Mus musculus: one gene and its partner. The protein of the gene in region 2 purifies or fractionates together with the protein of the main gene of each other region. This does not show direct contact. Links are inferred from orthologs where the notes say so. Each region holds a gene or a part of one and is shown on either strand. Other genes may lie near its edges. The genes, in order: Ccny and Cdk14.

Evidence for each region.
Region 1: the proteins of Cdk14 (region 2) and Ccny purify together in Homo sapiens (affinity purification with western blotting; 3 studies listed by BioGRID and IntAct, with this or other methods). This does not show direct contact. The link is inferred for Mus musculus from reciprocal best matches to the Homo sapiens genes CDK14 and CCNY.

The regions. Positions count from the first base shown.
Region 1 is NC_000084.6:9,326,273-9,342,399, forward strand, and holds part of Ccny (cyclin-Y), read right to left. Parts: intron 6,679-16,127; coding exon 6,512-6,678; intron 1-6,511. UniProt on the Homo sapiens protein: Positive regulatory subunit of the cyclin-dependent kinases CDK14/PFTK1 and CDK16.
Region 2 is NC_000071.6:4,880,008-4,896,134, forward strand, and holds part of Cdk14 (cyclin-dependent kinase 14), read right to left. Parts: intron 14,161-16,127; coding exon 14,021-14,160; intron 8,974-14,020; coding exon 8,858-8,973; 3' UTR 8,830-8,857; intron 1-8,829. UniProt on the Homo sapiens protein: Serine/threonine-protein kinase involved in the control of the eukaryotic cell cycle, whose activity is controlled by an associated cyclin.

The DNA of each region.
Region 1 (16,127 bases), on a different chromosome or scaffold from region 2:
TTACCAAGCTTTGGTGCAAAGGTATAGATCAAGGACTTCTTATAGAAAGTAGGGTTTAAGAGCTCCACTTTATCACCCAATAACAGTGTGAAGCCTCTTTACAAATGTGGTTCAAGGCTACAGATTCCTTGGTAACTATACCTTTTAACCATTTACAGCATATTAGTCTGTCAAGACTGCTGAGACAAAAGCCACAGCTAAAACCATCTTTTTTCTGTTGGAGGGAGGCAGCTGAAGTTTTCCTCCTTGTCCTACAGGTAGTTGTTCTCCTGGGTCTCCCATGGTCTCAACCACATTGTTATGTCCTCAGGTTCTTTGCAAATAGTGATATCTTGACTTCTTCCCTGCCAATTTGTATCCATTTGTTCTCTTTTTGTTGTCTAATTGCTCTGGGTAGAACTTTGAGTACTATACTAAATAGGTAAGGAGAAAGTGGGTAGCCTTGTCTTGTCCCTGATTTTAGTGGGATTGCTTTGAGTTTCTCTCCATTTAGTTTGATGCTGGCTATTGGTTTGTTGTATATTGCTTTTAGGTATGGGCCTTGAATTACTGATCTTTCCAAGACTTTTATCATGAATGGGTGTTGCATTTTGTCAAAGGTTTTTGTCAGCCTCTAATGAGATGACCACGTGGTTTTGTTCTTTTGAGTTTGTTTATATCGTGTATTACATTGATGGATTTCCATATATTGAACCATCCCTGCATTCCTGGGATGAAGCCTGCTTCATGGTGGATGATCATTTTGATGTGTTCTTGGATTTGGTTTGAGAGAATTTTATTGAGGTTTTTTGCATCGATATTCATAAGGGAAACTGGTCTGTAGTACTCTTTCTTTTCTTTTCTTTTCCTTTCTTCTTTTTCTTTTCTTTTCTTTTTTTTTTGTGGCTTAGGTATCAGTGTGACTGTGGTTTCATAGAAAGAACTGGGTAGTGTTCCTTCTATTTCTACTTAATAGAATAGTTTGAGGAATATTGGTATTAGATCTTCTTTGAAGTTCTGATAGAATTCTGCACTAAAACCATCTGGCCCTGGGAGTTTTTGGTTGGGAGATTTCACTGCTTCTATTTCTTTGGGGTTTATGGGGTTGTTTAAATGGTTTATCTGATCCTGATTTAACTTTGGTAACTGGTGTATGTTTAGAAAATCATCCTTTTTAATCCATGTTTTCCAGTTTTGTTCAGCATACACTTTTGTAGGATCTGATGATTTTTTTGAATTTCCTCAGTTTCTGGTGTAATGTCTCCCCTTTCATTCCTGATTTTGTTAATTTGGATATTGTTTCTAGGCCCGCTAGTCAGTCTGACTAAGGGATTATCTATCTTGTTGATTTTCTCAAAGAACCAGTTCCTGGTTTTGTTGATTTTTGTATAGTTCTTTTTGTTACTACTTGGTTGATTATAGCTCTGAGTTTGATTATTTCCTGACCTACTCCTCTTGGGTGTATTTGTTTCTTTTTGTTCTAGAGCTTTCAGTCAAGCTGCTAGTGTATGCTCTCTCCAGTTTCTCTTTGGAGACACTCAGAGCTGAGTTTTCCTTTTAGCACTGCTTTCATTGTGTCCATAAGTTTGGGTATGTTTTTTTTTTCTTATTTATTTATTTATTGCTTGCATGTGACTATACTGTTGTTGTCTTCAGACACACCAGAAGAGGGCATCCAATTCCATTACAGATGGTTGTGAGCCACCATATGGTTGGTGGGCACTGAACTCAGGACCTATGGAAGAGCAGTCTGTGCTCTTAACCCCTGAGCTATCTCTCCAGCCCTGGGTATGTTTTTAGAAGTGGAATTATGTTTGTGTCTCTTTTTTTTGTTTGGATTTGTTGTGGAAAGATTAATTTCTTGCTTTTTCTTGGGTGTAGTTTCCCTCCGTGTGTTGGACTTTTCCTTCTATTATCCTCTTTAGGGCTGGATTTGTGGAAAGACATTGGTGTGTGTGTGTGTGTGTGTATACATATATACACATATACATATACATACACACACACACACACACACACACACACACACACACACACACACACACACATATATATATATATATATATATATATATATATATATATATATATATAGAGAGAGAGAGAGAGAGAGAGAGAGAGTATATGAGTACACTATAGCTATTTCCAGACACACCAGAAGAGGGCATCAGGCCATTACAGATGGTTTCGAGTCACCATGTGGTTGCTGGAAATTGAACTCAGGACCTCTGGAAGAGCAGTCAGTGCTCTAACTGCTGAGCCATCCCTACAGCCCCAGAAAGATGTTTAAATTTGGTTTTGTCTTAGAGTGTCTTGGTTTCTCCATCTATGGTAATTGCGAGTTTTGCTGGGTATAGTAGCCTGGGCTGGCATTTTTGTTTTCTTAGGGTCTTGTATGACATCTGGCCAGGATCTTTTAGTCTGGCTTTTAGAGTCTCTGTTGAGAAAAGTTGTGTAATTCTAATAGGTCTGCCTGTATATGTTACTAGACCTTTTTACCTTACTGCTTTCAATATTCATTCTTTGTTCTGTGCATTTGATGTTTTAACTATTATGTGACGAGAAGACTTTCTTTTCTGGTCTCTGGTGTTCTGTAGGCTTCTTGTATGTTTATGGGCATTTCTTTCTTTAGATTAAGAAAATTTTCTTCTATAATTTTGTTGAAGATGTTTGCTGGCCCTTTGATTTGGGAATCTTTACTCTCTTCTATACCTATTACCCTCAGGTCTGGTCATGATACAGGATCTGTGCTCATACCTGAGATGAAACAACCTTCCCCACAGCTGTATTCTTTCTAAGCCCTCAATAGAACTGCTATCAATGTCTCTATTTCTATCAACCATCTCTAAGAATCCAGGGTTAACTTTCCTTTTGAAAACATGCCTCCAATCTCTTCTATCCTTTGGAACTGAGCTTCAAAGCTACCTTTACCCCCATTCCCCCTACCTTTTCAAGAATTTGTTAGAGCAAGATTTCCCAAGACTGAAATCTGCAAAAGTCTCCTCAAAAAAACTAGGACCAAATACCAGGGTTACTGACTGGGTATCCTAAGCAACAAATGTTTCCCCTTGGTTCTGAAGGATGAGAGGTCAGTATCAAGCAATCTGCTGTGGCCTTTCTCCTTGGTTAGAAATTGCTGCCTTCTCTGCACCTTCACACTGCCATCTCTCTGTGTGTCTATGGCTCAATCTTGTCCATTTGTGAGGACAACATAGACATTTGATTAGGGCCCATCCTGATGACCCCATTTTTAGTTGATGTCTTCTTCAAAAACATTACTGCCAATTATAGTTACATCCTGAGTTTTATGGGTCAGATTTTGAATGTTTGAACTCTGAGGAGATCTAATTTGGCTGCTAACAGCCAGAACCTGTTACAGGCCTCTATGTGGGTTCTAGTCTTAGTGCTGGGATACACATTTATCTGAGACAAATGCATGCTGAGAAGCACAGCATGGGGGAAGACTCCTTTCACTATCACTCCTATCACTCCTATCACTATATCTCCTATCACTTTTGTTTGCTAAAGCTCACTGGCCTCTGAGAGGGAGCAAATCAATGGGTTGGCCTCTTTCCACCACTTTTCTTCTGTTTTAGGAGGTGGGGCAGGCTGTGCACCCAGCCTTACATAGGTTCCTCATCCCAAAGTGGAGTTTCTAAAGTGTTGCTACTGAGAAAACAATTTCAGTGGGCAGCTAGCTAATACCAAAAAAAAAAAAAAAAAAAAAAAAAAAAAGTTGGAATTAGGTAACTTGTATTAACACATGACTATGATTTTAATATGTAATTCAGAAAAACCTAAAAATAGTTCAGTGGCATTAATATAACAAAATCCCTTGTAATGTCACGTTTCGAAGCTACTATATTATTGAAGATAACAATGAGAATAACTTGTGCCACGAGGTAATAATAAAATTATGAATTGGTGGAGTAAATCAGCTATACCAATCTCATTAATAGATTTAGTTTATTCTATAACCTTTAAAGATTCCTATTTTTTGTTGGTTTTTCTTGAGACAGGGTCCAGGCTGCTCTGTTACTTACCCTCCTCCTACACTTCTGAGTGCTGAGGTTACAGGCATGTGCCACCACAAATGATTCTTCACACTGTGCTGATCAACTGGGTGCTACTGAGGTAAAGAAGTTTATAAGTGATTCTATTACAGTCCGGGAAGCAGCACCACAGTGTCACTTTGTATGGATGTTTTCTGCTACAGATAATTTAAGAACAGATTAAGGAGCAAAGAAACTCAAAAGAAAATTTAGCTCAATGAGAAAGGGGACAATCTAAAACCTCAGACTCTGAGAACATGAATAATGGTGGCACTCAGGGTTTGGCTCACACTTGCCATTTTAAAATGGGGTTAATCACAAATTATGATGAGAGAAACTTGTCCACGTCCTCTCTCTGAGTTAAGTCTTGGTATCTGGCTGGCCTGGTCCTCATGCATCATCCTGTATCAGCCTCTGCATGCTGGGAATGAAGGCGTATGCTATCACACTTAAAGAAAAAGTTTTAGCATCATCTCATAGTAGACAGATAAAGGTTTCCAAAATATTTTAAAGATGGATAAACCAAGCTAAATGTGTGACGACTTCTGTGGTCATGGTGGATCACTATACAGAACATTCTTTTCACTGATGCCATACTAGGAAGAATTCCATGGCCTTGGGTATTTTGCTTGGGGTTGGGACAGGGCAGTCAAACTTGTACACCACAGATCTCCCCACCTGTGTCACCAGTTTCCCTCTGAGAAAACATAGTCTTCTCGGCATATAAATAGCTATTCAAACCAAGAACTTTGTCACTCAGAACAAATGGTCATCATACAAGAGTCTCAATAGGCTGCTTGCTAATTAGTCAGGAGAGAGAGGAGCAGGCCTAATAGAGGTCCATAGTCTCCAGAGGTAGGTGAAGGGCACAAGATGTACATTCTATTTTCCTCAAAAGGATTTTTATATATACTCTGGGCTTGAATTTTGTCTGGATCCCCTGTCTCTACCTCCAAACACTGGCAATTGCACGAGACATCTGGTTACAGTCTACACTCTGGAACCGAGTGGTCACTGTGTGTTTTTTTCCCTTTGCTCAAAACTGGTATAAAGCTATCATCCATCACAGGCTATTATGATCTGATGAGAATTAGCATGTGGTTTGCTGGCAATCAATGAGCCTGGTTACCAATAGGGTTCAAAGAAAGGACAGAAACTAGTCTAAAAAAACCATTATTTTTCTTTTGACAAAATATGGAAAACATAGAACTTTTGTATGAGTTCTATATTTTGCATACTAGTATTACATGTAACATAATGCTTTCAAAAAAACTAGTTTTCTTAAAAAAAAAATCCTTATTTGAAAAGAAATTCCAACCTCATTGTAACAGATAATTATTTATGGTACTGAAGATCTCACAAAAGAACATATATTTAGTGTATGCTCATCAAAATAATCCTCCCTCTCTCTTGCAGGTACTGGGGCCAAACCAAGATGCTCAGATCCTGAGCTCCAGCTCCAGCCTCCAAACCATTCTTTACACTCAATTTCAGCTGAAGGAATTTTGGTCAGATTTTGTAGGTTTTTATATAGAAGAGGGACAGATAAATAGATAAGATAGAAAGATAGACAGACAGACAGATGATCATTTAAAAATACAATATCATATATAGTTTAGAAGATTTTTGCTTCAACCGTTCCCAAGAAAAGAAATGTAAATTCTGGCTATATCATTTAGTAGCCAATGTGCCTCTAGCCTGGTGACTCTCCCACACAGGTTGCAATAAGATTCTCGCTCTAGGGCTATTGGTCCAAGTATGTGGTGTGACTGGTATATAGCTAGTAACCTCCTTCCTCAAGGTGGTTAGCTTAAGTGTTAAGCCAAGCAAAGAACACAAGAACTGACTAAAGACTCCTGATGGTTGAGAGGCTTGAGTGCTTCTATGACTCAGCGTTCCCTTCTCAGTTTTCTGATACCCGTGGATAGGCCCTCAGCCAGTAATTCTCACAGAATCTGAGGTCTGGTCCAGTGGGACATCATCACATAACCCTGGGAGCTAGGTGGACGGCTGTCCTCATGTGGAGGCTCCTCCACTGGTTTTGCAGAGAGAATGATGGAATGATGCTTGTGCAAATCAAGCCCCAGAGTACAGAACCGATTATCAGTATCTGAACTTGCCAAATATGCCAAAACATGGAATGTGTCCTCTGAAGCCAAATGAAAATATTCTAATTTAGTTTCTGAACTTCTCCGGTTAGGCTTGCTGCCCACAGAGGAACATAGACTTTTACTACTATTCCGATGTGACACGGAAACCTAACTATAAATCTCCAAAGAAATATTTATCTGGAACAGAGTTTCAGCAAATACTTTGTGAAACTAGAAAGTATTGCCAGCACCTGTTCCTGGTCAAAGTGATGAGAAATACAATTCACTACATTTCCATAGCCAGGTTTCCTGCTGGACTGACTTAAAACCATCAGCTAAATTCACTCACTTTTTACCACCCCAAATAGGCATGGTATCCCCGGAACTTACATGTCCTCCACTGTGATGTCTTTCAGGATCTGGCAGTAATCCACATTCCACACAGCTTGGTCATCCCACACCTTAGAGGCCAGCAGGATTGCCCCTAGAACAATGCGCTTCCAATTGGCTGGACAGATATCAATCTCTGCGTATGTCAAGAGCCTTTCAAGGTATACCTGAGGAGACAAGAGACATGAGGAAACCAATGCTAATAAGCTTTCAGTTGTCTCCTCCACCCAAGTAACTCAAAAGTCTTTTAACTAGGAGTTACCTGGACACACTTACTTCTTTATATGAATAATCTGCTGTAATTAGTAAAAAAACGTGTCTTGAAATGATGTCATTTATAAGAGCAATGGCAAAGGTACTGACAAAACCAAGCACACTAAACATATATAAAGAAATGTGTTGAGTACACTTAAAATATATAACCTAAGATTTTTTAAACCTGTTTTTCTCCTCTTATTGAAAATAGATTTTTTTCTCACATATTATATTGTGAATACAGTTTTCCCTCCCTCTACTTCTCTCAGATTCTGTCTACCTCCCATTCCACTCAGATCCATTCCCTTTCTGTCCCTCATTAGGAAACAAACAGGCTACGAAGGGATAATAAAATAAAATAAAATAAAATAAAATAAAATAAAATACAGTAAGCTAAAACAAAGGCTAACATAGGCAGCAAAATTAGACAAATCAAACAGAAGGAAAGACGCCCAAGAGAAGGCACAAGAAACAGAACCACTCATTTGCACAATACACCTGGGGATCCATCCCATGTACAGCCACCAAACTTGGACAGTATTATAGATGCCTGGAAGTGCTTGCTGAAGGGAGCCTGATAAGGCTGTCTCCTGAGAGGCTCTGCCAGAGCCTGACAAATACAGAGGTAGATGCAGAGCATGGGGTCCCCGATGGAGGAATTGGAGAAGGGACTGAAGGAGCTGAGGGGGTTTGCAGCTCCATGGGGGTAGCAACAGTGTCAAGCAGCCAGACCTCCCAGAGCTCCTGGGGCCTGGACCACCAACCAGAAAGTACACATGGAGGGACCCATGGCTCTGGCCACCTATGTGGCAGAGGATAGCCTCGTTGGACATCAGTGAGGGGAACACCCTTGGGCCTGTGGGTGTTCGATGTCCCAGTGTAGGGGAATGCCAGGGTGTGAAGATGGGAGTGGGTGGGTGGGGGAGCACCCTCATAGAGTCGGGGGGGGGGGGATAGAGGGTTTCCAATGGAGAGATCTGGAAAGGGGAAAACATTTGAAATGTAAATAAAGAAAATATCCAATTAAAAATATGGAAAAGAAAAAAATCTTTGCTGTAAAGAAACAGAAGGCATTAAGATTCTGTGTATCTAGAGGTAGATACGAGATAAGAAGCACTTGGCAGTGAACGAGCATGGCAGGCGGGTGTCCACATTCTTCTCAATGTGTCTATGTCAGCTGATCTTTGTTGTAGTTCTGTTTCCTTGATGGTTTTAGCAATCTTCAGAAACTACTGTTTTTATGTGTTCTTTGAGAAATTCTACACAATGGTTAATAGATAATACATTTGGTGAAAAATAAAACCTTCTTTGGAGAAAGAAAGAAAGAAAGAAAGAAAGAAAGAAAGAAAGAAAGAAAGAAAGAAAGGAAGAAAGGAAGAAAGAAAGAGGAGAGGAAAAGAAAAGAAAAGAAAAGAAAAGAAAAGAAAAGAGAAGAGAAGAGAAGAGAAGAGACAAGAGAAGACAAGACAAGAAAAGAAGAATCAAGAGTCCCTGAGAACAATGATCTGGAGGCCATAAGTGCACCAGAACACACTAATTCTTAAAGCACTCAAGACCAGTGAGTATGCTTAGACACAGGCTGGAGGTCACACACTTTAACAGTGAAAATGTAGCTTGCCTTGTCAATATTGAGACTGGTATAAATCTCAAAGCCACTGGTCAAAATACTTTCTCAAACAAAGCATGTAAAGGCCACATAGCATTTTTTTCTTCATCTATGAAGTATTTTATTCTTGATCTTAGCCACTGACCTATTCAGCATTTATTTTGAAAAATCATTGTATGCTGTGTGAGGACATGTGCCATGCTGCATAGGTGGAAGCCAGAGGACAGCTTTATGGAGCCAGCTATCTCCTTTCCTTTCCTGTGAGCTCTGAGGATGGAACATGTCTCCAGGTTATGCTGCAAGTGCCTCTATCTCCTGAGTCATCCATCTTGTTGCCTGTTACAGAGCTTTTGTTTTTTTCCACTCTTTTACATCATTTTATTTGGAAATGTTTTAATAGTGCAATGAATCTAAACGTCAGGGACAATGGCTGCCAGTTTAGGCATCATCCATTTATTATTGAGCATGGAAAATTATTTACATGATGAAATAGTTCAGAAAGTCAGTGAAATGGGCAGCTTCACGTGACACCATTTCAACAGTGATTTCAGTCAACATATTTTCCAAGAATGTCACTATCTCTAAATAAGGCATAATCCTTGTCGTCTAGAACTACTTTGGTGCCTCTATATTCTGGGAGAAGTTTCTCTCTAACTTTCACGCTTACAGGCTGAATCTCTCCACCCTTTCCTTTCCCGCCCGACCCCACAGCCACAACCATTGCTTGAAATACTTTTCCTTGCGACTTTTCCGGAAGCATAATGGCACCGTTTGTTTGTTTTGAAAGACAGGATCTTACTATGTACCTCACAGGGATCCTCCTGCCCCCTATAGTTTTTAAAAAACTGAGCTTCATTGTAATTTCAATTCACATGTGGCTGCTGATATGGTTATTACTATAGTAGAACACATGTCACAACACTATGCTCAATCATTTCTAATTGTATCTGAAGCACTAGGTATGCTCAATGTTCAGTAACTATCTTTACCCATCAATATGCAGCTTTTTTATTGTCTCTAAATGAAATTCTACATATATTAACATTAACATATATCTACACTGAACAATTTTTTTTCTAGCCCCTACAATTCCTCCTTCTGCCAACTCTCCTACAAGCACTACTGTACCTTTGTACCTCTAGGAACAAGTATCTTATGAGTATTTTATACCAGTGCATCATACAATATTTATCTTCTAGGCCCTGGTTTATTTCAGTCAGTATAAGGCATCTTCAGGACAAAACAGAGACCTGGAATAAGGAGGCACCCAAGAATCAATGGGGGTATCCTTAGGTGTGACTCACAGCACAGGGGATATGGAACTTGAAGAGGCCACCTCCTGTACCCAGGCAGGAGCCCCCAACAGAATAAGGACACCAACCTACCCACAAAAATTTTGACCCCAAATTTTTCTTTTCTATACTTCAGGGATCAAGCATAGACTGAGGGAATGGCCAACCAATAAGCAGCCCAACTTGAGACTCATCCTATGGGCAAACACTAATTCCTGAAACTATTAATTAATACTCTGTTATGCTTGCAGACACCCACATCCACAGCCAAGCAGTGGACAGAGCCTGGGGATTCTTATGAAAGAACAGGAAAAAGGATTGCCACCCACAAGGGGGCAGGAACTCCACAGAAAGACTAACAGAGAGTCAACTAACCTGTACCCTTGGAGCTCTCAGAGACTGAACCACCAACCAAAAAACATACATGGGCTGGGCCTACGCCTCCCTGCACATATGTAGCAGATGTGCAGCTTGGTCTTCATGTGGGTCCTGAACAACTAAAGGGGGGCTACCCTAAAATCTGTTAACTGTATGTGGGATATGTTCTTCTTGCCGGGTTGCCTTGAAGAGATTTGATATGCCAGCATGAGGGGGGGGGGGGATACCTAGAAGGGGAGGGGAGGAAGACTTGTGTGAGGGGGTGACCAGGAGGAGGGCAGTGAATGCTATGTAAATTGAATAAGTAAAAAAATTAAAATTAGAAAACAAACAGATAAACAAACACATAAACAAAACAAACAGGAAGTCCTTCACTTAAGATGTCACAGGGTGTTGAGATGGCTCAGAGGACCCAAGTTATGTTCCAATACCCATATCAGGTGGCTTACAACTACACACACACACAAATACACACACACACACATCCACACACAAACACACAAATACACACACACACACTTTTTAAAAAACTGTGTCCTAAGTAAGTTGCCTATTAGTTTCCCATAACTAATTTAGACTATTTAAAGCTTCTTTTAATCAATTTTGCAGTTTTTATTGCTTTTCATTTACAAAATGAAACTCTGTATGAGAAAAATGAAACTCAGATTTGTAATACTCTTAAGAACTTGCTTTATAAAAAGATAGAATATGTATAGCTTTATGTATATATTACTCTTACACACACACACACACACACACACACACATACACACACACACACACACGTGTATGTATAGTCCTAAATAGTTATAAAATGTATAAAAAGCCACATGTGGAAAAGAAAATGTATAACTTTTATAAAGTCCAATTTATTTATTTTTTTTATATAATTCCTGCCTTCTATGTCTTTTTTTTTTTTCTTTTTTAAACTTACTTACTAAATTTTTTATTCACATCCAGTTGGAACTCTTAGGGAGAAGTTGGAGATTAAGATTGAAGGTCCTGAAGGGGATAAGAACTCCACAGGAAGCCCAACAATGGACAGAGATTTCCTAAAGAAAGAAAACCCATACCAGATATGGTACTGGGGCTCCCAGGAGAGGCTCAGTTTTGGCCAAGTCCTAGAGAATCAGGACAATAGCATGGGCTGGCAAAGATGAACTAGGTGAAGTGAAAAGTAAGACACCAGGCAGCACCATAGACTTAATGACAGCAGACAAGAGAAAGGAGACAGGTCAATGAGTTCACTTACCTGCCAAACAGTGTCTAGGTGCAGATCCCAGTGGATGCACCATGCTGACCCTGAGCCTCCAGTCAGGGTCAGAGAGGGGCCTGAGAAGCACCCATGACTTGAGGTAGCACTTGGAAGGAAAATTATGAATCAGGCTAAATAGAAAGAAGTAGTGTTTTCGGTGGAGACCATCTAAATATAGTTCAGACACTTGCAGGAAATGATCTCGAAGGTGCCAAAGATGGCCATCTTGGAAGTACCCAAGACTTCTGGAATGTGCAGTTGGCTAAATACATTTATTAGAAACTGGAGGTTCCAGAGGGGAAAAGGTATGGAAGGTAACTGCAGATATGACTGTGTGCTCTATGTCTGAGATAAATATCCCATAGGTTGTGAGCATGGAGACATGACTGAGTCTGTGCAGGCAGATCCAAGGCTTGAAATGAAGAGTAGCAGAGAGAGGGGAGTCCCTTCCCTTGTTTGGAGCTGGAGACAGGATGATGGGGCAGGAAGTTGGAACGGAAAGTGGATCTGGCCCATTCTATTTGTTGGGCTCATACTTGTGTGGAGAACTCAGAGGTTTTTCACACACTTCCAAGTACCGAGGAAGGAAATGGAATTTCTGTCTCTCATAGTAACCAACAAAGATTAAACTCAGCACAGCATGAAGGCCAGAGAAGCAGTTAAGAGGGCAGGCTGAGGAGAGATGAGGGTAGGAAAGGGAATGGAGACGCTTCCTTCCAGAAGCGAACTCCGGCTGCTGGGGGAAATCACGAGTCAGTGCAGCAGGGTACCTGGGTCAGCTCCTCCTCCAACATTTCCTGCCCCTGAACCACATATAGGAAGATTGTTCTACCTAATGATATTGAGAAACAAAGTATTCAATACTGCTCCTTCCAACTGAAGCAAACTTTGCCAGGTATGCACAAAATAAGACAGTAACAGTTGCTTGGTTCCCAAAGATCACTGTTCTGTTTTCAGTGATTCACTAAGAAATACCAATTTTTAAGATCTTGAAGATTTAGACTCTTATGGCTACTTTCTAATACCATGTGGTATGCAGGATGGACCAGGTCACACTCTGAATACAAAGAAAAAACTTACAGTTGTGTGTCATCACATTCAGCAAGAACTAACATTCCAGATTCCAAAGAAAAGCTAAGTCAAGTGTGTTAAGAGACCCAAGACTTCCTGAGGCAGTAAAGTATTTGGAAATAGCTCAATATAGTTAAGTCTTTTCATTATCTCTTTCTACAATAAATCCTAAGTTCCTGATAACAGCCCTACTGTGTGCCACCCCGCACAAGGCTGGGACAGATTAATGCTGCCAAAATGTTTGTTTTTTAATACACCCCCAGTCTCACATGAGGTATCCATTAATGAAATCTGCTTAAAACTGTGAGCAGCCTCCGCCACAGTTATATTCCAACAAAAATAGTAGCAAGGAAATGCAGAAGGAAGCTAATGGGGAAAGTGACCAAATGCCACTGGCATTCAGGAAAGAATTGGCACAGATGGAGGGAGCTGAAGCAGTGAGGTTTAGAGAGACAGCTCAAAGTGATCAAGAAGGCATTCTTCTGCATTACCCATAAGAATCAGCGGCCATGGAGGGAAGCCCAGAAAACCAGGAGTCGGAATGCAGACTGCTCTATGAGAATATCTGTGGCTGGCTCTGAGGATTTGTCACAAGGATGAGAGCCGGCTGTTGATGACAGAAATGAAAGTTAATCGTTTCAGTAACAACCTCTGGATATCTGGATTTTAAATGGAATTTATCATACAGGAGCATGAGCAGTGAGGGTGGGCTTTAGAGAATGATTTTTATTTGTATAAAACAAATAACTGGTTGGGGCCAGGCTGACTTTCAGCTGGGCATTCTAGAGAACCCCAAATTGTACTTTCTCAAGTCTTGACAATAATACTCTTCCCATTCTCTACAGGGTAAGGCAGGTAAAACTATTCTGAAGGCAGAAAACAGAAACTGGGATTACCTCGGCCTCTCAGTTCATAGACACTGGAGACGCAACATCTTCCCACAGCTTGGTAACAGCTTCTGTACACAAGTTGGGGAAATCTCAGCAATGAAATAATTTCTACTGGCTTAGGTACAAAGGTGGCTATGAAATTTTATTTTGAGTTAAAATTATCTTAGTTGATGGATACCAATAATACTCTGCCTGTTGTGCCTGTTGAAAGAACCAACTTGATTTCTGATATGTGAGTGAAATCATCTGAGGGCTTACTGAAGAATGGAGACATCATAAGATGTTACATGTGAGGAAAGCAGCTGATACATTGTGGGAGATAATTAGAGTGAACAAATCTTCCTAGCATGTGATTCAGCAGAACTTGTCAGTAATACCATATTTGGGGGAAATGTTCTAATATTGTACTCTGATTCTATGCTAAGTCACGTAATACTGATTTTCATGATATTATTTCTAGATAGTGCTGACTGTTCAATTAAAATTTCACATTGTAGTCATACAAAAGACTAGCCTAGGAACTTTCGAGACAGTACAGGTTAGTGTCAACTGCGGAATCACAGAGTACTCCATTGACTACAGACAAAGAAAAGGTTGGGAAGGCATTTTGCAGAAAAAGATTAAATTCAAGCTCAGCAACGAACATACATAAAGAAAACTTCAACAGTGATGCAATTATTCAATCTGAATTTAAAAAATTATGTAGGTCAGGTAAATGGCCTGAATTCAAACAATATACAATTTCTTTTGCATATTATCCTGTAGTCTTACAGCTATTTGATTTAGCTAATCAGAGATGACCCTAATAAGGCATAGGACAAGAATGTTAAGAACAAGACAGTAATAAGAGTCGACATCTTCATTCCATCCCCAATTGTATCCTATTTCAGATGTTTTCACGTTTATTTTAGCACATGAGAATTATTATCCAAACTCTCAGCCCTCAACGATGCTCTACAGATTCAAACGTGGAGCCAAGAAACAAACTATTTTAAGGGAATAACTATAGCTTCATGCTTTTAAATGTTCTATAACTTTTCCATTTGGATTTTTAGTATTTGATGTATAGAATTTTTCAACAATCAGGATTGCAGGTCAGTATAGAAGCTCATCCTGAGTGAGGTAACACATTCACAAAGGAACTCACACAATATGTACTCACTGATAAGTGGATATTAGCCCAAAACCTAGGATACCCAAGATATAAGATACAATTTCCTAAACACATGAAACTCAAGAAAAATGAAGACTGAAGTGTGGACACTATGCCCCTCCTTAGAAGTGGGAACAAAACACCCTTGGAAGGAGTTACAGAGACAAAGTTTGGAGCTGAGATGAAAGGATGGACCATGTAGAGACTGCCTTATCCAGGGATCCACCCCATAATCAGCATCCAAACGCTGACACCATTGCATACACTAGCAAGATTTTATCGAAAGGACCCAGATGTAGCTGTCTCTTGTGAGACTATGCCGGGGCCTAGCAAACACAGAAGTGGATGCCCACAGTCAGCTAATGGATGGATCACAGGGCTCCCAATGGAGGAGCTAGAGAAAGTACCCAAGGAGCTAAAGGGATCTGCAACCCTATAGGTGGATCAACATTATGAACTAACCAGTACCCCGGAGCTCTTGACTCTAGCTGCATATGTATCAAAAGATGGCCTAGTCGGCCATCACTGGAAAGAGAGGCCCATTGGACACACAAACTTTATATGCCCCAGAACAGGGGAACGCCAGGGCCAAAAAGGGGGAGTGGGCGGGTAGGGGAGTGGGGGTGGGTGGGTATGGGGGACTTTTGGTATAGCATTGGAAATGTAAATGAGCTAAATACCTAATAAAAAATGGAAAGAAAAAAAAAAAAGAAGCTCTTGTGCTGGCATGAGCACATCTTAGATTTGATTCTAAGCACAGTAGCATCACCCCTTCCCTCTTCCTCTCCCCTTACTCTCCGCTACCCCCCCCTCCCCACCCAACATTCTTTCCTAGGATTTTTGTGTTGCATAGGCTGGCCTTGAACTCCACAGCACAAGTGAGCCTACTGCATTAGCCTCCCAAGTATTTAGAACTTTGGGTGTATGACACCATATCCAGATAAATTTGTTTTTCATTTTTCGTTTGTTTTTGTTTAAGTCACTTAGCTCATGGTACTTTATTATAGAACAATTCTGAAAGTTTTGATGGTACCCTAAAGTGAAAATGGAAACACTGGCTTTATTTGGCTTGGCATTTCTACAGAAAATTGAGTAAGCAACCATTAACTAAGATTCCTATCAGGAAGTTTGGTTCTCTCTGCTCTTTCAACACCAGAAAGCCCCTCGCTGCATTTTAAAGTAGCAAAGAGTGGCTACTAGGAAAACCTCAAGCAAATGAGGGTACAAGCACACACATACAAACTTCTTAGTTTTGTAATCGGAACAACACTATTTTTTTGTTCTTAAGAGCCTTTGCTAATTCTTCACAGAGTTAGAAAGGGCAATTTGTAAATTCATCTGGAATAACAAAAAACCTAGGACAGCAAAAACTGTTTTCAACAATAAAAGAACCTCTGGGGGAATCACCATCCCTGACCTCAAGCTATACTACAAAGCAATTGTAATAAAAACTGCATGGTACTGGTAAATGACAGGCAGGTAGATCAATGGAACAGAACTGAAGACCCAGAAGTGAACCCACACATCTATGATCACTTGTTCTTTGACAAAGGAGCTAAAACCACCCAGTGGAAAAAAGACAGCATCTTCAACAAATGGTGCTGGCTCAACTTGAAGTTAGCATGTAGTAGAGTGTGAATTGACCCATTCCTATCTCCTTGTACAAAGCTCAAGTCAAAGTGGATCAAAGAACTCCATATAAAACCAGTGAGACTG
Region 2 (16,127 bases):
AATTCCCCACACTGTTTCTGCAAGTTTGTTATTTTAACACAAAACAAAGTTTACCAACACACTCCTGAAACACACTAGAATGTTTTCGTTCTGCTTTTAGTCAAGGCCTAAATCTTTTGCTCACCCACTTGTGGAGTTGGGGTGCTGCTGATGCAGAATGCAGATCAAAGGTGCCCAAAGAAAAAGATCCAGAAACTTCTACAGCCCGTCTGAAGCCCATTAAAGGAGCTCAGAGACGCCTCAGCATGAAAGAGAGCTAAGCCTGCAGGGGTGGCCGCCACTGACATTGCAACAAGAGGCGGTGGTCTACACATTTGTTGCATTCATAAACGTTCTGGAGTTCATATGGTCATCCCATTACAGGAAAGGCCAGAGGTGGGTGGGTGGAAAACTGAGCCACACTGAGCCTGCAGCCTGCAGCATGCAGCATGCATCTGTGATGCAGAGTTCTGGCTTGGTTTTCCCGTCCAGCTGGAGCAAGGACAGCAACCAGGGCTCTCCTCAGATAAAGCCTAAGAGCATGCTTGTGCTTGCTTCCTCTGTTCCTATTATTTCCACAAATGTTGCCAACTACCCAAGACAAAAGAAATGATGAAACTCCAGCTGCTGGAGAAGAAACACTTATTGCATCACACAGAGAGTAACCATCCTGGCAACGAGAAGAAACGCAGTGATTGTCCTTCTCCAGAAATAAACCTAGATTGAACAAATGAATAAAGATGGTGATACATCCCAATAGCCATTCTCCCCATTTGTTAACAACAGAAAATCTTTACCAAAAGCCCCAAGTATCTCACAGTGAGAATGTGCAGTATCATATTCAAACAGCCTTTTCCTCTTGTGCCGCACAGCTAGGGCAATGTACAATCTAGGCACATGGTTGGCTTCTTTGCATCACTGAAACTTTTGGGATGGGCAAGTGCAGAGCTGTATTTTGAGGGGTCTTTATGAACAGCCTGGCCTCCTAACTCACAGCTAAGTGGATTGGACCAGTGTGGAGAGCTTTAGGGGCTGCTTGGCAGGAATCTGACATTGGCCAATGACAAGAAAATGGGCTTCAGGCAGGAATCTGACTTTGGGCCATGACAAGGAAGTAAGCTCAGGCAGGAATATAATTTTAGGCTAGAACAGGGAAGTAGGCTTTTGGCAAGAATAAGACTTTGGGCTAGGACAGGGAAGTAGGCTTAGATATCTTGGTTAACCTGATAAGCCCTCAGAAACAGTGATGGGGAGTGATCTTGGGACTTTGTTTATTGCCTTGCTTGTTCCTTGACTATTAGTGTTTATTGTACTGCTTGACTGAATTACTTGAATGTAATTAAAATGGTATAAAAGTGGATTGGGAAGAAGAAACCTTCCCCAGCCTCAGAACTGGCTGGGGTCATGCTACAATGTTTTCTAATTGTCTTTTTTCTTTTTAATCCTCTCTCCTGTGCTGGAGAACCTGTTGACTGAGCTGGCTTGGTCAGATCAGGCTCAGTTCTGATTTAGAAGCAGCCTGGAATCAGCCAGTAGTTCATAAAGGGAGGGTTCACCCAATAGCCTCAGTTTCTACTCCTGGTTATACAAATCAGAGCAGTTTTCTAGGAGGGTTTTAGGATCCAAGGTAATAAGAGATCAGTAGCAGATTCCTCCAGAAATAGGACAAAGAGAAGAGAGAGGAAGATGGATCCATGAGTAAGCAGAAACAAGGCAACAGAAACTACAAAGTGAAGAGAAGATGAAGACAATATGACACCGACTGTAAAAGTGACCCACCACAATGTCACAGCATGGAAGGGGAGCCTTGGACACCTCCATCTCCTGGAGCAGTTTCCAGAGTCAATATGGCAGACAGATTAAGGCTACTGTTGGCTTCTGCCTTACAGTCCTGTCTTTGTGAAGTGTGTGCAGCTATATCGACTGTCAGTCTGCCTTCCTTTTGCATACTACTGCTAACGGAGGAAGCCACTATGGCACTTCAATGGAGTTATGGCCCTTGCTAATGTCATCTCTTGCTCTTGTGGGCACCAGGCATTGTGTCTTTCCATGCCTCTCATGTAACTCAGTCACCTGGCTCTGGCTCCTTTTGCTTTGGCCAAGTGCCTCTTTTCTCACCGTCCGAGTCCTTCTAAAGCGACTTTCATCTAGCACCAAGATACACTTGACTGCAATGAATTCTGTTCTGTTTTCTTGATTTTTCCTTAAAATAGGTGGATGGAAGAAGAGTTCTCCATCAGTGTTGTCCAGAAGGGTACTGTGTGATGCCTGCCTGGTCTCCTCAGACCTGGTATCTATGCACTTCAACTATACAGCACGAGAAATTCTAGCAAGGAAGAGATATTTAAGGTGAATTGAAATTAAATTAAGTAATTTTAAATGGGCATACAATTCCTACATTACACACCATGAAACCATTCTTTCTTATGGAAAAGGAAAGAGGGAGAACAAATAGTTCTGCTTCATGGTATACTATTTTCCTAGTTTATCTTTACTCTGTCCTGACTCAAGTAAGTTGTTGATTTTACCTTATAAACATGCAATCCCTGGATAACTATTGAAGATTTCACTATCTATGGTCCCCTTAAGTTCTTATATGTTTTTTAAAGAATTTGGACTATGAGTACTGTGTTTCTGTCATTTTGCCTTACCTTTTCCTCTTTCCAACCCACCCCCCCTTCCCCGTTTTTAGCCTGTGTAATTATTGTAATATACACATACACACGCATGTTCACACCACCCCATTAAATACATAAATACAACCCACTGAGCCCATTCAATTTTGCTCCTTTGAATATGTGATTAGAGGTGGCCATGAGGTATTACATAACCATTTAGTGAGCTCAACCCAGGGACAATGTATTCTCCATCTCTCAGTAGTCAGTTAATGACCACTGGAGTTTGTTAAAATATTGATTCGTGAACCCCAGGTATTGGGTTGGAAAACTTTGCAGGAGTTTGGTGTCCTAGAATATGAGATGCCTATTTTCAGAGAAGGTGGCAGCAGCACACTAGGTCATGAATAGACTTTGGCAAACAAACAATGTGCCAAGTAAACAAAACCAAACCCTTGATCCTAGTCAATGAAGTGAGTCAGTGAAAACTCTTGAACAATGAATAGCTTTGAATCTCTTTACCTAACAGATCACTTTGAGGAAATGACTGTTCACTGACTGGGGTAAGGAAAGTGAGGCTGAGGACTTTTTTCATTGTCATGTAATTCTTAAATAATTTGGACTAAGAATGATGATATGCTGAAACAGAAGGAGATCGCCAAAGTATGCATAGTTAATCTCTCACAATTGAGCCAAACAGTATTACTTCATACACTAGACAAATATTTGTAAGGTTACTATGAGTTTAATGGAGTCCAAGACTATTCATTCATTGAGAAGGGATTTTTTTTTTTACAATTTTAAAGGATATATTTATTTTATGCATAGGAGTACACTGTAGCTACAGACACACCATTATAGAGCATCAGATCCCATTGCAGATGGTTGTAAGCCATCATGTGGTTTCTGGGAATTGAACTCAGGACCTCGGAAGAGAAGTCATTCAGTGCTCTTAACCACTGAGCCATCTCTCCAGCCAAATTTTTATACATTTTAAGATTGCTGGATAATCTCACTTTTACCTTTTTTCCCCCATTACTTCTTTGTTTTCCCCAACCTTATTTTCTTCATTATACTTTTAGTACTACATTGGTTTTATTTTATTGAATTTGGGAGTATTTGGGGGAGAGGTTGTTTTGTTTTGTTTCTCTAAAAACTCATTTTTCAATTCCATTCTTACACTGATCTAATCTTGTTCTCAAAACTTTTCAAATTGGGAATAATTTTGTTTCTTGTTTTGTGTGTGTGTGTGCGTGCGCATGTATGTGTTTAGCAACTCCCCTCCATTTTTCCCCTTTGAGGCCTTTTTCTTTTATCACCTTACTTTACTATTTTCACATTTACTCTAAGTGTTTTATTTATTTATTTATTTATTTTAATTTATTTACATTTCAAGTATTATCCCTTTACCCCTCCCAGAAACCCTCTAATCCACCCCCCTTCCCTTGCTTCTATGAGGGTATTCTTCTACCCACTCACCCACTTGATTCCCCTACACTGGGCATCTATGGAGCCTTCAGAGGACAAAGGACCTCTCCTCCTGTTGGTGCCTGATAAGGCCATCCTCTGCTACACATGCAGCTAGAGCGATGTGTACTCCTTTGTTGGGGTCTTAGTCCCTGGGGTGTCTAGTTGGTTGGTATTGTTGTTCTTCCTGTGGGGTTGCAAACCCCTTCAGCTCTTTCAGTTCTTTCTCTAACTCCTTCATTGGGGAACCCGCACTCGGTGCAATGATTGGCTTTGAGCATCTGACTCTGTATTTGTAAGGCTTTGGCAGGGCCTCTCAGGAGACAGCTATATCAGGCTCTTTTTCAGCAAGCATTTCTTAGCATCCACAATAGTGCTGGAGTTTGGTGACTGTATCTGGGATGAATCCCCAGGTGGGAAAGTCTCTGGATGGCCTTTCCTTCAGTCTCTGCTCTGCACTTTGTCTCCATATTTGCTCCCCTGAGTATTTTGTTCCCCTTTCAGTTCTAAGAAGAACTGAAGCATCCACACTTTGGTCTTCCTTCTTCTTGAGCTGCATGTGGTCTGTGAATTGTATCTTTGGTATTCTGAGCTTTTGGGCTAATATCCACTTACCAGTGAGTGCATACCGTGTGTGTTCTTTTGTGATTATGTTACCTCACTCAGGATGATATTTTCTAGGTCCATCCATTTGGCTAAGGGTTTCATGAATTCATTGTTTTTAATAGCTGAGTAGTACTCCATTGTGTAAATGTACCACATTTTCTGTATCCATTTCTCTGTTGAGGGACATCTGGGTTCTTTCCAGCTTCTGACAATTTTAAATAAGGCTGCTGGGAACATAGTGGAGCATGTTATTATATGTTGAAGAATCTTTTGGGTATATGCCCAGGAGTGGTATAGATGGGTCCTCAGGTAGGACTATGTCCTATTTTCTGAGGAATGACCAGACTGACTTCCAGAATGGTTGTACAAGCTTGCAATTCCACCAACAATGGAAGTGTTTTCCTCTTTCTCCACACACTTGCCAGCATCTGCTGTCACCTGACTTTTTGAGCTTAGCCATTTTGACTGGTATGAGGTAGAATCTCAGGGTTGTTTTGATTTGCATTTTCCTGATGACTAAGGATGTTGAACATTTCTTTAGGTGACTTCTCAGCCATTTGGTATTCCTCAGTTGAAAATTCTCTGTTTTAGCTCTGTTCCCTATTTTTTTAATAGGGTTATTTGGTTCTCTGGAGTCTAACTTCTTGAGTTCTTTGTATATATTGGATATTAGCCCTCTATCAGATGTAGGATTAGTAAAGATCTTTTCCGTATCTGTTGATTGCCGTTTTGTTGTATTGACAGTGTCCTTTGTCTTACAGAAGCTTTGCAATTTTATGAGGTCCCATTTGTCGATTCTTGATCTTAGAGCATAGGATCACTGGTGGAGAAGGGGTATTCTTATCCCCAGATTATTTAAAAAAGACAGTGACCAACCCACTCTATCCCATCAGCACACTGAAAAAAATTACCTCAGCACAGACTTCTGGTTGGTATCACCACATACAAATGTAAGTGCGACTAAAGGATGTGACATTTGATATTACCAGTGGTATTTTCCTTGATGAATGTTTCCTATGTACAGTTGAAACTTGCTTGGGTTTTGTTCAACTCTCAATGCTAACCAAACGAGTGGGACAAGCTCTGAGACGGCTAAGTAACATGGCTAGAGAGTAAGGAGCTGAATGGAGCTCAGCAGTGAGCACCAGTGGCAGCGATCCTAGTCTTAACCCTGGCACTTGTGGCTTTCTTGTCATTTAATTTTGCTACAAGACTAAAACCCAATTGCTTTCTTCTACACAGCAAAATGCTTTGCATTAGCTTTTCCACTAAGGCCAATTTATGCAAACCAGACATTATTAACTAAATAATTGAAGTGACCTCAGTTTGCAAGAAAGGGAACAATGTGGCACTGAGGTACAGGAGAAATATTAGGACTTGGAGCATTCCTGCATGCCCTGTCCCTGTCATCTCAAAAGCAGCATGACACAATCCAAGTTCCAGACCAAGAGCCTGCTGATCAGCAGAGAGAGGTGGCTAAAACTCTAGCCTGGGCTCAGACTACCTCAGCCCCCAGTCTCTTCCCTTCATTCTCTTTTTCTGTCACTATGGGTGTTACAAAAAAATCAAGACAGTTCAGGGAAACTTAATATGTCACAGACTCCAAACAGGTGATGAATACATTTAAAACCAGGAAAGAAAACCAAAGACTAGAGGATGACATCTTTCTTCCTGAGATTCATTAACATGATATTTTTCTTTCATAATCTCCTTAGCTTGAAATTCATCTACTGGACAGAAATGAGCCATGCCACATGTTGTAGGGACTAATAAAATATCTGATCTCTAACATGGAAATGTTTGGTAAAATAAGAAACTATGATGATTTCTTTTTGTGTTGACAGCAACATGTTAGAATCCAGATTTTCTGCAGCTTTTATGAAAAGAATGGAGATGTTTCTTTAATGGCCTGCTGAATCAGATGTGCTCTGTGGACCAACAATGCTGAAGACTTCAACGTTGATGTGACAAAGATAACAGTCATAAGGAGAATATTTGTACATTATCAGACAATTGTAGAGACACTTGCCCACTGTGGAGCTAAGCCTGGACCCAGTGTGAGGAAGTGGACTGTGAGCTTAGCAAGCACCGCTGGCTCCAATTCTGAGCACCTTTGAAAATCTCTTTTCAATTAGCAAGTTTTGAGCCTTTCCGGGCAATTCTCTGTCCAGTCAGCTCCTTTTGATTGTACAATAATGAGCTGATCTTAAGCACATCTTTGCAACTTTGACTGGGTAGATCAGGAGAGTTCAGAAGAGCCAAGAAGAAAGGACACGCAAGCACAATCCTGCCACTGAAATTCAGTCTTGCATGTAAGCATGAATCAATAAAACAGAGCCAGTTTTCATTCTTATTCTACTGAATTAGCTAGAGGGTTAATAACTCGGGAGCTAAATACCATTAAAATGCACATGCTGCATGTAACTTTTATGAATCAAACCATTCTCAGAACCACGAGGCTACTGGTCAGAAACTGGTTAGACTCTAAGCCACAAGCTATCTGACCATTGCAACTCAGAGTGGGTCCCAGATGACACTGACTTCATATACAATGACCCAAAGAAAGCTGTCCTCTCATCCGTGGTTTAGTAGCAGTATCTACTGGCCAGTATTTACATGTCACACTTTAACCAGGAGCCTTTTTTCCTCTTCCAAAGCAACATAAATCACTGCCACATCCCTAGGCTAGCAAAATTAACCTCCATTTTGAGGGCATAAAAACCTAGGTTCCAAAATGGCTGAAGATTGGCAGGTGTACCGAAGAGCTGTGTGCACCGTCTTTGCTATAAATCCACCTTGCTTCTTACCATATTTCCAAATAAGAGAGAATCAGGCTATTCCCCCAAATTAAAAAACAAAACAAAACAAAACAAAACAACCAGTCAAGCAGGTAGCTCATACTTGTAAACTCAATGCTTTTGAGGCAGAGACATGAGGATTTCTTGCTGGACCTGAGTCAGAGAGTTCCAGGTTCAATGAAAGACACTGTCTTAAAAAATAAGGTGGACAAAAATTGAGGGAGGTATTTGATATCAACCTCTTGCCTATATCACCCCCATCCCCAACATCCTCACAGACACACACACGTGAACAGTTCTTCTTGTATTCAGCTCACGTCATTCAGCACTTAGTTATGGAACACAGAACATGCTCTGCCAAAAGCATTAGAGAAGGGCTTCCCCATAAGGGTGAGAAGTGGGTAGTGTTGGTATACCGCTTTAATTTCAGTTCTCAGGAAGCAGTGGCGAGGGAACTCTCAGTTCAAGGCTAGCCTGGTCTACAGAGCAAGTTCCAGGACAGAAAGGAATACTGGGAGGAACCCTGCCTTGAAAAACCAAAACTGAAAAACCAAACCAAAGCAAAGCAAACCAAACCAACCAAACACCCCAGACATCTCTTTCTGGTAACCCAGAAAGATACAACCTTTTAGACATCACTGCCTTAAACTTGGCCCTGGGCATGTGCAATAACTTGACAGGTTAACATGCCTGAACATCACCATGATAGTTCACAGTTCCTACCTGTAAAACAGTAGAGGTCAAAGAAGCAAACTATGAGACCCAGAGCTTTACCTCAATAGGTCTGTGGCAGGGGCCAGACAGGAATCAGAGCCCAGGGAGGACCTGGCAAGCTACTTCGCTTACAACAACAGCTGCACATTTTCTCTTATCACACATGAGATCGTCTGGTGGGGCAGAACTGGGGGCATTGTCAGAGTTGCCCATACTTCATGAAAAGCTAAAAATCTAGAATTTTGTATGAAGTATCCCAATTTTAAAATGACAGCAAATAATTAAAAGCAAATTGCATTGGCCAAATAAAACAGGTCTGTGGTTCAGGTCCAGCTCATAGTGGACCTTTGCTAACTTCAGTGATGAACTCAGGAGTAATCGAGTTGGGTGCTCAGCACTCAGTGGTTTGCGAGTGACTGCAGAGCGAACTTACAGGATCCAGCACAACATTACTAAGAGCTTCGGAGGTGCCTGAAAACGCTGACATCAGTGATTGTTCTCTGCCTCAGCAAAATGTTTGACACAGGCCAGAATAAGCCCACAGGACTCACAAGACAGCTTCAGGGAGAAATGAGACTGAAATTGTTCACTGAAAACTGTATTCCCCATCTATTGCAAACATTACTCTCCAGCAAAGCAGGGCCTCTTACCTGTGCTCTCCTGAGAGTGCCGGGCTTGTCAGTGTTTGCTGTTCGATAGGCTTTTCCCATAACTATTGTTTTTTCCAAAGGCCCTCATGCTCTCTCCAGCTTCTGGTTGCAATCTCACATTTGGGACGGTAAAAATAGAAGACACTGAGGAGAGAATGCGATATTCCGTTTACATATTTATACACATGTTGACACTTTATTTAAAGAGGACTGTGATTCTCTCTGGATTTACAGCATGTGAAACGCTGTGGTAAGGGTCGGTTTTGAAATGCCAAGTGGTCAAAGGTGCACACACAGCTATATGCACTTACACATGTATACACACACACACACACACACACACACACACACACGTACATGTACACACATACACATTTGCATGAGGTAGAGCCACGGCTCCTGTTTTGCTGATCTTAGAATGATACACTTGGATTCGGAGACAAGTCTTTGCCATTTTTTAAAAAATAATTTATGAGAGACGTCCCTTTTGAAAAGATTTACTTATGTTACATACGTGAGTACTCTGTCATCGTTTTCAGACACATCAGAAGAGGGCATCTGATTCTATATCAGATGATTGTGACCCACTATGTGGTTGCTTGGAATTGAACTTAGGACCTCTGGAAGAGCAGTCAGTGATCTTAACCACTGAGCCATCTTTCCCGAGCCTGAGAGAAGTACTTTTTGATTCTAACATTTGGGAAGTTTCAGAAGGAGCTGGTTGCAGTGAATAGATCGTGAGTTTGATTCTAGCAGTCCCAGCTTTTCAGTGTCTTACAGAGGGCTAAGAGGAGAGGCTAAGTAGTTGCTTGAATATGAGAGTCTGCGAGCTAGGGACCTTTGGAGTCAGTGTCAGTGTGTGGATAATATTTAAATCTTGAGGCTGGATGCCATCACTCAGCTCTAGGGAATGAACCAGATAGAAAGGTCTAAGGAGAATGAATACATTGGGAACTCAACGGCATTCCTTAGCCTGCCTGGCAGATCAGAGAGGTTGCAAAGCAACATTGCAGGAGGTAAAAGTCAAACCATGAAAGAATCCTACATGGGGAACCAAGGGAAGGATGTGTTAATAGGAAAAGGTGCCAGATAAATGTGACTAATTCCACGGACAGATCTAGCTAAAAGCTGGGGAAGCCCCAGAGACAGAGGGGTTGAAATAGCATCACAGGGGTTATCACCACCTACACAGAAGACACTCAAGGTGGAACCTGGAAAGGAAAGGGCAGAGCTGTTCAACTGGCCAGCAGGGTGATGCAAGCTTTAAATTCCAGCATTAGGAAGGCAGAGCTCTGCAGGCAGGGAGTGCTGTGAGTTCAAGATCAGTCTAGTCTACATATAGTGCAACCCTGGGTCAAATTAAATAAATTCAGTAATAAAAAAATAGGTGTGCTTGCCATATTCATAAAAAGATAGCACAACACTACATAATAGCATCGTGCTGTTAGAGTATTATACAGGACAATGCAGTCGAGACTATAAGCACTAGCTCTAGAAAGGTCCTGTGGGTCTTCCATGCCTTCTTCAGCTTGCTCTCTGAATGAGGAGTTGGGAGCACAGAGGGACCAAGGCACATGGCCACAGTTGCCTGGCCAGGACCTGTGGGGCTGAGCTTGTAGCTAGGGCGTGTGATTCCCAGCTCATTGCTCTCCACACCGGACCAATTTGCTGGCCTTCTTTGAGGAGATTTGAGTTTTGTGAATTAGCAAATGAATGTAATGAAATCAAGGCCTCTGCGCTGTGAACTGTATTTTGTTCATTTACTTCGACAGGGATAGTTCAGCTTCAATTATTTATGTAACTTGATAGTATACACAGAGAATGCCCTGTGGTGTGCTTGGCGAAACTAATGAATTTCTTCTAAATCAACCCACTATTTATTTCCCTGCAATTAAATCCTTATGAAGGAATAGAGCAAGGCTGTTTGGATTTGGGGACAGGAGATTGACACTGTCACCATCCCTGGTCAGCCTGGCTGCCACAGAGTTCCCTACCTAATCCTATAATTACTTTTGCTTGATGCACTTATTCTATTTCCTGCTCTGATGACACTAATACTTTGCTTCTAAATTTTCTTATTACATAACTACAATAAACATTCACAGATCTACGGTGCATCCGTGGCCATTTTGAAATGTATGCTGACTTTGCCTGTACCACTCTCAGGGCTTGGCTAGCCATGAATGCTTCTATTTCTATACTTCCTACCATGGTTCCTGCTCAATCCAGATCAGCCCTATCAACTGTATTATCTGCTCCGTGGTGGTCACTTCCCTAAGAGGTCCAACTGGCCCCATTCATTCTCATGTCCATGTGGACTATATGGGCCTAGAGGGCCTGACTAGGAAGGTGATAAAATGTAGATGGTCTCAGGAAGGGAGTGGTCCTTATGATGGGATTAGTAGCCATGTAAAAATGAGAAATATTCTCTGTGTCCTGTAAGAGCAAGCAAAGGGGCGCCTGGGAGTCATGAGGACGGCCCTTACCAGGAACAGAACCAGGCAGCACTTTCGTCCTGAACTCTCCTCCCCTGGAACTGTGAGAATAAATATCTGTTGTTTTAGCCTCCCCGTGCCATGCTATTTCCTTAGGACAATGTGAGCTGACCAAGACAGCCTGGATCTTGGAACTGGTGAGGCATCCGTTCTGAGCTGGCTGCAGACAACATCCCTTCCTTGGTTCTGCAGTATTGCTGTGACAGGTGCACCCTCCCCCAGACACCCTTGAACTGGAAGATGGAAAGGTTCTGAAGTGTCACACATTCTGTCATTTACCAGACAGTGAACTTTACAAAAAAAAAAAAAATCTACGCTCATCTGAAGTTTAATATGAAGAATGTCAAGAATTTACAAGTACTGTCAGCCTAATACTCAGACAAGAGTAACACGAGCCCTTCATTCACTTTAAGGAACTAATTCCCAAAGTCACATGAGTCTGGGGATTCTTTGTTTTGAAAACATGTTTACAAGGGCAGCCACGTTGTTCTAAATGGAAATGACTGTAGTATTTAGTGCTGGGATTGTCCTTTCTGCGAATCGATTTACCCTTCATAATGATTATCTTCCCGACACAGAAATAGCATTTCTGTAACTCAAAATTGTTACTGGAGGCATTTAGTAGGATCTTGCTTTAAAAATATAATGATTTTTCATCTTTATTCTCCCCCCTTCAAAAGGTTTCGCTGCTCATGATGTTTAACGTTCTGCAGAGACGTGTTTCTGCCAATGAATATCGTCTTATGGTTATGCTTCTGCAAATAGCCTGCTGTGAGCTGATAAAGGGATTAATGCAGCCAAAATTCTTAATCTGTGAAATTACAAATTAAATTCTCATATTAAAAATACCACCCTGAGGTATTTTTTGTGGTTTTAATTCCCCTCTGGTGTTCTGCATACATTGTGCTTGTTAATGACAGGGACGGGGCTGTCTCGGTTGGCAGGCTGCTGCTCGGTGATAATGTGTAGGCATTTACTCCCTTATAGCAACTGGATTTAACCACTGGCTGATAAACTAAGTGGCAAATGGGTAATAAGTCCATATTAACAGGGAAGTACTACTACAGAATTGGGAATTCGCAGACTCTCAAAATCCTGGCTTAAACTCCATCATCAAGTCAGATAGCATTGAGCTGTCGCCAAGGAGGTCAAGGTGGAAGCTACACTGCATAGGGAAAACAAGCCCCGTTTTTGATTGCAGCGGGCTGTAACACAGTGGGCCCTGCCTCCCTTTCGTCTTTTCCAGCACAGGGAGAGGTATGATCCGTTCCTTTTTTTTTTTCCTCTCCCCTATAAATTTAAGTCTTGTACTTTCCTTTAAAGTTTGGAATCACTGTTATAATCAAGGATCGACCTTTAGAAAGGAAGTAAGATAGATGATAAAGGAAATATAGGCTGGGAATGCTTAAGATATTAATGAGGGTTTGAATGCATAAGGAAAGCATCAGGTTAATACACCCATAGCTACCTTGGCGGGGAGGGGCAAGAAGCACACGTAAGTGTGAGATAGAAAAAGAAAAGTTAGGTTAAGAAGACTCAGGGGAGTTGTTACTTAGGATTTGGATCCAAAGAAAGGGTGGCTGACTGTTGCTATGGAGAATCCAATGCTGCAGGGGAGTCATAAATTCCAGAGACAAAGGAAGTAACTTCCTGTCTACTATAAGTGATGTATGCATAAGAATTAATAAATGCCTTATAAATATTTATCTATCTATGCCGTATGCTATTTTTAAGGCAATCAGGAAATATGAAATATCTCTAACGGGTCTTTGGAACATATCACCACTGAATAAAAATATTCCTACTGCTGCCACAATGTTTTTCAAAATTTCACAAGAATTCTGCTTCACACTTGGGAAGAAAGCTGAGATCCTCCCAGCCATAAATCCTTCCCCAAATACTTTAAATGTAATTGAAAAAGCCTGTGTAAATATGAGTACTTTTGTAAAAACAAAACAAAAACCCACCCAGGAATGTGTTTTGTTTTAAAAAGATCTAGAGAAGAGCTGTCTGTACAAATACCAAGAACATGTGTAGCTAAAATGAATTCCATGTCTTCAGCTCTTACATGTCAATTCAGTGTATTTGCCAATTGCCAGTTCGGGTCCTCAGTTCACTGCCTAGCAGTGCTTTTGAAGGTTATTGTTACAACCAAGATGGTCTCTGAAAATCAAACAGAAATGAATCATTTTTCCTCTGTGTACTGCAGCCAGTTAAAATAGTACTGTATGCAGAAAGCACTAAATATGTAAATCATATTTTCCTTTATGACTGCTCAGATCATTTTTTTGGACACACACATAATCAAATACAAAGACGCGCAGCTGCCGACTGCAGAGGAGAGATAGCAAAAAATGAATCCATTTTCTTTCTGTGTCTGGTAAGCTAGCAATTGAATGGCAGGACTCCAATAAATATATATACACACAATTCCCCTTCTGGCTTGAGCGATTGAATCCTCTCTCTCTCTCTCTCTCTCTCTCTCTCTCCTCTCTTTTCCTCTCTCTCTCTTCCTCTCTCTCTCTCTCTCTCTCTCTCTCTCTCATCTCTCTCTCACACACACACCCACCCACACAGAATGCATACACACAAACACACAACCTTATGTTTATGCAACATGAATGAGCCCATCTATCTACATGCATACTACACATTGATGACCAAGGGCTCCGATTGGATGCTGGAGTCCTACTCACTATCAGTCAGCTCCCATAGCCGTGGAGGCAGATCGCTGAAATACTCATGGCTCAAGGCGGCCTGTGCTGATAGCCTGTTCTTTGGGGAACACTGGAGAAGCTTGGAGGCCAAGTCTTCAGCATGATTTACATAGCTGAGCCTGAAAACAAGCAAAAACAGAGAAAACATCAGACCGAAGGAGACAGTCACTAAGTACGACTTAAGGCTCATGCCACATCTTATGTACTTCAGTTTATGTCTGGCCAGGGAAACAACTTAAATTACCTGCTGAAATAAACAAACTGAAGGCACATGCACCCTTCCACTGTGTGTTATCCTAAAATGTCCTTTTCTCTAGATATGCTAAGGATTGTTGACTTAAAATATTTTGACTGTAAGCAAAGTACTGATTATTTCAGAATGGATGAAAGTAAGTTCAGAAGTAGAAAATTATAGATGACAGTTTATCAAATAGTTGCCAGCATTCATTCATGGACTCTTTGTATGGCATACACATATGGATGCATTTATAGGAAATTAATACCGAATAACTAGGGGAATTAAAATAGAGCTGTTATTAAGTTATTAAATTCTCCGGTTACTAAAATTACTTTCCCTCAAAGAATTTATATTTTCTTGCCTTAAATAATAATAAAATAAAAATACCGAAGCAACTGTCCTGCCAAATGCCAGCCATTCTGATACCGGCATCCAGGTTAACAAACAGATATGCTTAAATGATACGGGGCTCAATCAATTCAAGATGACCTTTAAAACAACAGTAGATAGAGGGTATGTGTCGCAAGATTATAGGAGAAACGGATAGAAGCAAACCCTTTGATGTGGTATCAGCTTTCCATTGGGTGGCAGCCATGCCTGGTCTTCCCAGTTTTGCTTTTCATGGAAACTATTCCGCTGGTCAGAGCAATCAGACATGGAAAATTAACACAACACTGATGAATGGCACCCCCTCTATAAGAGTCCAACCAGGGAATTACCCCCATTTGGTGGTATAGAAAATAGGTAGGGAATGGCAGTGGAATGCTCATTGAGGCAATCCATGTTCTCCAAAGGCGTTTACCCACACATCTCTGTTTCTGCAAGCAGTGTTAACTCTACCAACTCCCAGAGGCAGCCAGACAGGGCTGGGGCTTGGGGCCAAGCTGCTCCGCCAGTAATTTCAAAAGCCTTGAAGGTGCTAAGCACACCATTAGCCTCAGCCTCCAACTCCACACTCTCACATTTTTGTAGTGGGAAGGGAAGGCTTCTAGGAGGGGGCTGTGGAAGGGGAAAGGAGCCGATGCACTCAGGCAGACACAAAAGTGGAGCTTTACATCTTCCCATCACAAGGTGTCATGAATGGATGGATCCATTGCTGCAATGGATGTTTGCTTCACTTGTCTCTTTCATTTACAGACAGATCCCAGGACTGGCTTTAAGTGTCTTTGTCTAAGAGACATCTGTCCACAGGAAAAGGAGTCGTTTTCAAAGCCCTTCTTCTCTCCCTTACAGAGGGGTCTAGGTCACCAACACTATCCCTTCCTGTCTCAAGACCTCTCATGCTTACAAATTTGTCATTAACAGCTCTAAAACTCAAGTTTGAAATAGACAGACTTCACAGTAAAGGCATAATTACACTGAAGGTGCTGTTTATAAATTACATAGTGAACATCCCATCCCTATCAATTTTATATCATTTTGATAAAATAGAGCATTCGAACCAGACTGCAATCAGATTTGAGTTTGGGACCTGACACAATTTTGTACAAATTAAATAAATACCATTTATTTTAAAAAGAAAAAATGCTGCCAATCACCCCAAACTCTACGTTACTATACTTTAGGTACTTAAAGAAACTGGTAATTAGAATATTTGGTATGCCCATATCCAGCACTAAATTCGTGACCATAAACATGCGAACATTTGTAATACAGAGCAATGAGTACCACTTCTTTTTCTCTTTGGTTTTTTGATATAAGATCTCATTTTCAGTCAAGGCAGGTTTATTTTTTACTAGATAGTCAAGGTAGGTTTTGAACTCATGATCATCCTCCTGCCTCAGCTTCCTGAAGTGCTGAGGTTACATGAGACATGAGTTTCCATGTCTGGCTTAACACATTTTCTTT